2 linked regions of the Oryzias latipes genome follow. The protein of the gene in region 1 interacts with the protein of each later gene in a pairwise test. Links are inferred from orthologs where the notes say so. Each region holds a gene or a part of one and is shown on either strand. Other genes may lie near its edges.

Region 1 (4,277 bases):
TGGGCCACATGTTGAAATTAAAATTAAATGACACTGATTAAAGCAGATGCAGACTGTTTACCATTTCAAAACGTTTTTTGTACTCCAAAAAAAAGAGTATTTCATGAATCTTTTGACATTTTTTGGAACTTAGAATGGAAAAATTGGGAGGGGTGATCAAAGTTTATCACCCAATTAGTTCATTAACAATAAAATTCAATTACTGTAGACATTCAAACTTGATTATACATTTTATTTCCAAGCATTTCTGTCTGCTAGAAGCACATAATGAAGCCCTCGCCTTGAATTGAGGAGGTGACTGTGCCTTCCAGTCTGGGCCTGTGTGCACGCTACCCAACAAGTTTCCTGATTGTCGTGCGTGATTGTGCTTCTGAGAATAACCTTTCTGAAAATATGGAAACGTACTAGTAGTGATACTTGTTCAAACAAGCAGGGTACAACCTGCATCTTGTCGGAGATCGTCCTCTTTCAGGAGGATTTTCTTTCATATTTTGCAAGTAAACGAGACAGAGCGGTGATGTGTTGACGCGGATCGGCGCGTCCTCGGAACTCCCGGCGCGCAGCAGACGCTGCGCTCTGAGCGGCACAGGGACGCGGCACCTGAGTTCCGCCGAAGAGGTCGCGCAAGGACTTCTGAAGGAGTTCCGCGCGCGTCTGCTCCAGCCAGCGGATCTGCGCGCGCGCACGTGTGTGTTTGTAAATGTGTGTGCGTTTCATTCAATGAAACGCAACACCCCAGTTCTCGGTCTCATCGGAAACAGGTTTGATTATATTTAAAAGCTTGACCCGGGAAAGAAACCCAAACAACTGTCTGTTCTAATATTAGCCGCGCGGCTGCCGACTACTATGAATTCTATTATTGTCTGAGCTCGGATATGTTCTCAAAGGCAGCTCATCAAAAGATTTACACTTTTGTCCGCAGTTGGTGGACAAATATCAGTTACCAATCATCTTATCCCTAGATTGAAGGGACTGCGAGATGATCTGATGGGTTTCGTTACCCTTTTAAAGAAACGCAATTCTTCAAAATATAAATTTTAATATTAATGTTAACATTATTATTGCAAGAAAAAAATAGGGAATCCGAGTCTCATATAGTAAACAAATGTTATACTTTCATATTTTTCTTTTCTTCACTCCTCTTATAGCTTCAGGATTCAAACGTCTGGCTTTGCATAACAAATATTTCCATGCTCCTCTCAGCGCAGGGAAGGGAAAGTTCCTTGTAACGATGTCACCTGACTGGGATTGAAAGAACTTGGGTAAGAAAAAAAAAAAACACATCTCCCCACCCCCACAGAAGAGGGGACCGCCCACCACAGACAGTCAACCCGAGACCCCATATAGATTTAAAAAGAGAGGCTGCATTCTCAGACTGACACTTATTCAGCCCTGCCACCTTAAGCAGATTACTTTTGCGCTGCTTGTGTCAAATACGTGGCTCACTTTGCCTCTCCATCATGCTTGGGATGCTCAATCACCACCTCCACCCGGGCATTTTTCTCTTCTTCATGTGGCTTTGTCACCTCATGGAACATCAGAAGGTTCAAGGTAAGCTCTCCTTGTCTGTCTCCTGACTTTTTTTTTTAATATGTTTTAATGTAGAACCTCTAAACGCGCGGATGCAGGAATCTCGTTGCCAAAGGGAAACTTTCCAGAGTGACTTCTGGTTCTTCTTCCTCCCAACGACCAAAACTCTGTGCGCCAGACGGCGTGCGCGTTAACCCTATATAAAACAGGTGCCATGTGGTAATGGCTTCAGACTTCAAAGTGGGGAAAATGGCACATTTCTGCAGCCCTCGGCGGGCTCACGCGCTAGAAGCCGCCACGCAGCGTTCTGTAAATATCTGCACATATTTCAAGACCTTTATGTGAGCGTTGAAAGTGTTTAATGAAGCTGTCGCCTGCCCTCCAACAAACTTCAGAGTGGCCACAGATAGCTTTATGAGCAGTTTATATTTATTTATTTATTTATGGCACACACCCTTTCAGCTTTTGCGCTCGAATTTCTTCCTTTTTCCTTTTTATTTTTGCTTATGAAATAAATGAGCAAACCTCAATTTATGTTGGGGTTCCAAATTCCAAGAGATCTACCATAAAACATCATGTCATAGACACATTATACCAACATAAAAATCAAATTTTATAGCAATTTTGTTATAGTTTTTTGAAAATGTGTCAAAGGTTGACATTTCTGTTTTTTTATGTCATATGACTTTGAATTAAATTCCCCCATGTGTCGCAGACATGTCAGTGTCTGGTACATGTCTGGGATATTTTAGTGAGGCGTTGGAGATGGTGGTTTGTTCAGTCTTGCTGTAAAGACCGTGGTTTTCGTAATGATTGAGCTTCGCTGTCTAGACGATTCAGTTTGTGCGCAATGGCAACAAGGAGATTTTTGGAATAAAAGAAAAAAAGATTCTTTTTTTACTTTTCTAAGTTTGCATTGTAAGAGCTGTCAGTCACAGTTGGGATAGGCAAGTGTTAACAGTCTTGGAAAAAAAATCTGACAAAATACCACCGGGAGGGTGAAAGAGGAGGGAGGGAGCGTTTCAGATAATACAATCCGCCTGCGTGTCTGGTGTGTCTGGGTCTGTGATACACGTTCAGCGAGCGATACTCAAGATTCTTTTCTTTTAATGTTGTTGCTGTTTGCAGCCGGGAACTGCTGGTTGCAGCAGGGAAGGAACGGGAGATGTCAGGTCCTCTACATGCAAGGGATGAGCAAGGAGGAGTGCTGCCGGAGTGGAAGGCTGGGAACGTCCTGGACCGAGGAGGACGTTCCCAACAGCACGCTCTTTAAGTGGATAATCTTCAATGGCGGAGCTCCAAATTGCATACCTTGCAAAGGTGGAGGTGCACTCATTTTCCTTGGTTTTTCGCATAAACTAAAGCACACCACCAATCAAACCGATTATGTGATTAACGCATTCAGCCAACGTAAAGTATCAATGTGTCACTCAATGTCAATCATTTTACGCACACATTCCTTAACGCGGGGGTGTTTTTCTTGTAGAAAGCTGCGATAATGTTGACTGCGGACCTGGGAAGAGATGCAAGATGAACAGAAGAAGTAAACCGCGCTGCGTGTGCGCTCCAGACTGCTCCAACATCACCTGGAAAGGACCGGTCTGCGGCTTTGACGGGAAGACCTACAAGGACGAGTGCGCTCTCCTGAAGGCGAAATGCAGAGGCCACCCCGACCTGGACGTGCAGTACCAGGGGAAATGCAAGAGTAGGTGTTTTTTATTTATTTATTTATGTTTTTTTAATTAACTTTTGAGTCTTTTCAGGCTGCAAGTGAGAGGAGCAGGAAGAAAGAGCGGAGTGGCTGCTGCATTGATTTTCCCATTGACATCATTTTCTCTTTGTCTCCAGAAACGTGCCGTGATGTCTTGTGTCCTGGCAGCTCAACATGCGTCGTGGACCAGACAAACAACGCATACTGTGTGATGTGTAATCGGCTTTGCCCTGAGGCGACGTCACCTGAGCAGTACCTGTGTGGAAACGACGGGATCATCTATGCCAGCGCCTGTCACCTGAGAAAGGCGACCTGTCTCCTCGGCAAGTCTATCGGAGTTGCGTACGAGGGAAAATGCATCAGTAAGTCTGTAACAAGAGATGTGAAAGCGTCACACTGAACCCCCTGACACAGCGCCTCCTTGCAGCCACTTTGATTGTGGCTACATTTTCTCCCTGGCCACCTCTGCAGTAATGCACTTCTCGTTTCTGCCAACATTCCAGTTGGGAGGAGGTCTCAGAGAAAGAGGGTGTTTGGTACTTGCTTGTGTTTGCTCAAGAAATGATAGACATCTTATTATTTCCTGATGTTGGCAGCACTATCCCATATGGGAGAGAGTGAAGGCGAAGTGGAGGAAGTTAGAGAGCAAAACAGGGGAGAGCTGGGGGCCATGAAGAAAAAGCTGCAAGTTTTAGGCCAAATGGTTTCCTATCTAGATAACAATCAATCTGAGCCATGTATTTTCTGGAAAAATGCTCACCCTGAATGCAACTTTGTGTTCCTGATGCATCTGATAAGATAGATGCTGTTTGTTTGTTTTTTCCAGATAAATGCACAGAAAACCCGAACTAATCTAATTCTGTTAAAAAAGTTTTTAGACGTGTGGAATCTAAGTAGCCACTGATGATGATTTCCTCGTCTCTTCATCCAGAGGCAAAGTCATGCGAGGACATCCAGTGTAGCGGAGGGAAGAAGTGTCTGTGGGATTCTAGGATGGGCCGGGGCCGCTGCTCGCTCTGTGATGAGTCCTGTCAGG
Region 2 (4,462 bases), on another chromosome or scaffold:
CACTAGAGAGCCCTATTGCATTGCAGATGAGCCAGAGACTGTACTTCTTCTGACTATTGTATTTGTGTTTTGTTAGGGCTGTACCAACTGAAGATGGTGGACACACAAGCATCCTGAAAGCCTCAAGAGGCTGATGGCGTGGTTCAAACAGGTAATGTGGAGCATCAATCAGGAATGAAAAGATTTCTGTGTCACTGCTATTAATTGTATACACACATGACGCCTCTGCAGGGAAAACTGCAATGTCGGGAGCACGTCACCAAAGGCTTTGAAAACATGCCAGCTGCTTTTAAGGGGATGCTGAAAGGAGACAACACTGGCAAAGCCGTTGTTGCTGTCTGATGGATGACCAATAAAGGTCTTTACACAATTAATGAAGGAGGATTTTACATATACTGCACTGAAAAATAACTACAAGATATGTATTGTCTTTTCAGTGTTTAGTGAATTAATTTTATTTTTAAAATACATATGTGTGAGATATGTCTGTATTTCTCAATAGAATGTAGTTTTATTTAAATTGTTTAGTATTTTTCTCTTTTTTTCCCGGACAAACGTAAATAAAAAGATTGTTTTCTTACAGCTGTGACACGGCTTCTACCTGAACGGGGAAAAAAATCCAAAAGTGACATTTGCTTGTTTTACAGCGACATAGATAAAACTGTAACCAGATATTGTTGTTTATTCTATAATAAAGGTTGTTTTTGGTCTTTATTGATGTATGCTGGTATTGCATGCATTGCCTAACTGATTTGAACTTGCATCATATTTTAAAGAATGGAATTATGCAAAGATACTTTTAAAAAATGTTTTAAGGTCTAAATTAGGCAATTCTTAGGCTTCAAATGAAGTTTCCTTATTTTTACGATAGAACCTGTTGGAACATTCACATATGTAGTCTAAATACTCAAATTCTTTATTCAAATATGTAAATGGAAAAACAAGTCTTTGTGTACCATCTTTTAGAATTAATCTTCTGATTAAATCACTTCCCTAAACTTATTCCAACCATGATCAAACTGCAATAATTTGTCTAAATATTGCAATTTTTTGTTATAGTATGGACTTTTCTGTTTATTGTTTACCCCTTACTTTAGTTGTAAAAGAATAAACAAATAAAGTCTTTTTAAGCTATTACGTAATAAGACTAGTGCAGGGGTGTGGCCTCATGGGCGTTGACCAGAGTTTGTACAAGGAAATATGGTCTGCAGTGACCATGTTTACGGTAGTACAGAAATTTGCCAAGTCATTGTGATTCGACTGTCTGATCAAGCGTTGACGGAATTAAAAACAAAAAAAGTATTTCAACTTACTATCGATATAATTCTCTAAAAGGACGCGTTATTGTTAGTAGATTAGTTTTGCAAGTTATTTTAAGCCGCAACGAAACAACAACGAAGCACTAACGGGCCTCAGATATATATAGCCTGACATCACCGATTCTGTAGTTTTTATTCTCAGTAAAGAGCTAAAATATTTGCAAGAATCCAGGAAAGGAAACCATTCTGTTTATAACTTTCAAAATAAAAGTATTTTTCGTGAAGCTTTACCAGTAATAACACAACTGCTGATACAACATGAAATCAAGTACGGTTACAACACATTTCATGCACAATCATAGTGGCAATGACGTATACACACGGCGTTCTTTTAATATAAATGATTCGCTTAAACATAAAAGACTGGCTTTTATTTTGTTAGTCAACCCATCAGCTCTTCCGCTGCGACGTGTTAGTCTGACGCCGTTATAAATAGGGCAGGTCATCCTCTTTGACTGAAAGTGTGGTCTTTGCGAAGCCGCTGTCTTTTAGATTCAGCGAGAGTTTGCCTTTTCAAAACAGCAAACATGGTCCGTGAAGTGGCTGATCTTGTAAGTAGTTCTATAAATACAATTAATCATGTCTTTATTTATTTCGCTGTACTACTACATACATTCAGGACAGCACAGTTGACGTTAGGTAGCCGCGCGGTTATTTTCTCAGCAAGCTTCTATCTACTTACCTTTTTTGCAAGAAAAAAAAACCCTGTTAAAGCATTTATTCGCTTAGAGTTAGCATGTTTATTGTCGTTGATGGAATAAATTACTCCGACAGAATAACTCTGGAGGCTGTATTGCTAATGTTTAGTTGTTTTTTCTTTTTTTCCATTTTCTACCCATGATGCACGAGGGCGGACTTTGCTATCTTGTTGCCGCGCGAACACGTTGCCAGGGTTACAAGTTTTCGGAAAGGTTTTACCGTTAACTAGATAAAAAATCTTTTAGTAATACACCAAAAAAACGTTCCTATCATGGCTCAGATGAGCAGAAAGCTACAATAAAGTACTAGTTTGAGTAAAAGTCAACTCCTATTTGCGACACTTGGACCATTCCGCTAGGCCTCGGGCCGCCTCTGTCCGTGTGTACACATGCCTGGATGTCAAAACTGCTGAAATCATTCAGACTTCTGGGTGTCACTGGTTGCGTCCGAATTCCTTCACTAATCACTACAAAGTGCACTGTGCGTTCGCCATTTTGTAGTGCTGTCCGATTCTACAATTCCAAAATCGAGTGCCCTGCAAATTTCCCAGAAATCTCCGCAAAAAAACAGTGTGCATCAATGCTCACTAGATCTGTGAATATAGATCACAATGCATGGCATCAAATCTATTTTTGCTTAAAAATGTATTTAAATGTACTTTCTGAACAACCTGTCAAGTGTTTTTATCTTCAGAAGACTGATAAATGATCCTCGCAAAATGCTCCTATCAATTAGATTTTAACTTCGTGAAATCGATGACGTCATATCCGCCGTAAATTAAAAAAAAAAGTAGTGGGCATGGTGTCCAAATTGCTTTTAAGTCGGTGCACTCTATAGTTTTTTTTAGAAGTTGGGGGTTAGGGTGGGAATTCAGATACAGCGACTGCTTTTGATCTGGGGCTGTTCTGCTAATCATTAGCCAAACCTTTGATAACCACTTATCGTTACACTATGGGAAAGCCTGCTGACAAAATGAAGTAATTTATTTAAACGAATTCTTTACCTTTATGCTTATTTAAAATAAATGATGGAAACATGCTTTTTTTGTAGGCAGAATTCAAGAAAATTCTGGAAGACGCTGGAGACAAGCTGGTGGTTGTGGACTTTACTGCATCATGGTGTGGGCCCTGCAAACAGATTGCCCCCTTGTACAAGGTAGATAACTGGAGCTTAAAGACTTGATCCGATGAAAATGTTTTTAACATGTTTTTGTGCCCATTTTCTGATAAAGGAGAACATGTATAAAGAAATTTAAGCTTAAAAATGCATTTCTGAGTACTTCTTTTTCTTATTGTGAATCAGTCACAGGCAAGAAAGGACAGTTTTGACAGAGCTTGTAGTTGTAATGTAGAAGCTACAATCTGCAGGCCACAAGCTCCCTGCTCCACTCCATACTGATGCCTCTACTTGCAGACAAATGGATCCATGTACGTCTTTGTTTTCCTCGTCTGAGCTGTCATCCGGCTCAAAACTGTATGCCTGATAGCTCCGATATTGCTCACCATTTTTGTTTCACCTGTAGTGTTAGGTTGGGGGTTTGATGGGCTTTAAGCTAGTCGGAGAGCTCGGAAGTTACAACCCCTCTCTGTCAACCGTCCCAACCAGCGAATAGAAACAGGGGGACCAATTGAAAACGGTGTTTAAATGTAGATGCATTGTTACTATGGCAACCCTATAAGGTTTACCTCCCCACTTCAAGGAGAGGAAGTGCTTGTTCACAGGAAATGGTCCAACACACACCCAGTATGATTTTTCAGTAAAAGTGCTCTGTTTCTGTAGAGTTGAGTCTAATGTACTGTTGTTGTATGTACTTGTTGTCTTGCAGCAAATGTCGGAAAGCGATGACAACAAGAATGTGGTTTTCCTGAAGGTGGATGTGGACGAGGCTGATGTGAGTGTGCACGTTCTCCTCCTTGGCCAGTACAAACTAGCTTTGTTTTAATGGGCAAAACCAGCTTTTGTTTTTAGTCTCTCTACTTTATGAAAGCGTTAGGTTGCAATTGGGGGCCAGCAACAATAATTACTTAATAATTGTATTTTTATTTTTTTTAATTTTGATTCATAAAAAAAAACTGTTGCTTTTTCTCTTTCAGGATATCAGCAGTTTCTGTGAAATTAAATGCATGCCTACATTCCACTTCTACAAGGGGGGCAAAAAGGTAAGTAACTGAGTGCAGTAGTTGAAAAGTTTATAACTTTTTACAGAGGTTCTGATGACTTCCTTTAAAAAAAGAGACCCTGTGTCACATGGGATCATTAAGAGAGTCTTACTGTATTTTTCAAACCATAAGGTTATCTTAAAATCCTTGTATTTGTAAAATACTATTTATAAATTGAGTGTACTTACTGCCCTCAAATTGATTTCCTTTGGTACATGGGGCCCAAAAATCTGCCAAAATGTTTTAGTTTGACTTGTGATGCGTCCCGTCTGTCAAATGTTGTGG

Evidence for each region.
Region 2: the proteins of fst (region 1) and txn interact in binary tests that used the Homo sapiens proteins (3 or more experiments, as listed by UniProt). The link is inferred for Oryzias latipes from reciprocal best matches to the Homo sapiens genes FST and TXN.

The regions. Positions count from the first base shown.
Region 1 is NC_019867.2:5,754,282-5,758,558, reverse strand, and holds the start of fst (follistatin), read left to right. Parts: upstream 1-1,304; 5' UTR 1,305-1,460; coding exon 1,461-1,551; intron 1,552-2,658; coding exon 2,659-2,856; intron 2,857-3,016; coding exon 3,017-3,235; intron 3,236-3,378; coding exon 3,379-3,603; intron 3,604-4,172; coding exon 4,173-4,277. UniProt on the Homo sapiens protein: Multifunctional regulatory protein whose primary function is to antagonize members of the transforming growth factor beta (TGF-beta) superfamily including activin, myostatin, GDF11 or bone morphogenetic proteins (BMPs).
Region 2 is NC_019876.2:18,250,314-18,254,775, reverse strand, and holds the start of txn (thioredoxin), read left to right. Parts: upstream 1-1,649; 5' UTR 1,650-1,846; coding exon 1,847-1,870; intron 1,871-3,068; coding exon 3,069-3,173; intron 3,174-3,843; coding exon 3,844-3,909; intron 3,910-4,111; coding exon 4,112-4,177; intron 4,178-4,462. UniProt on the Homo sapiens protein: Participates in various redox reactions through the reversible oxidation of its active center dithiol to a disulfide and catalyzes dithiol-disulfide exchange reactions.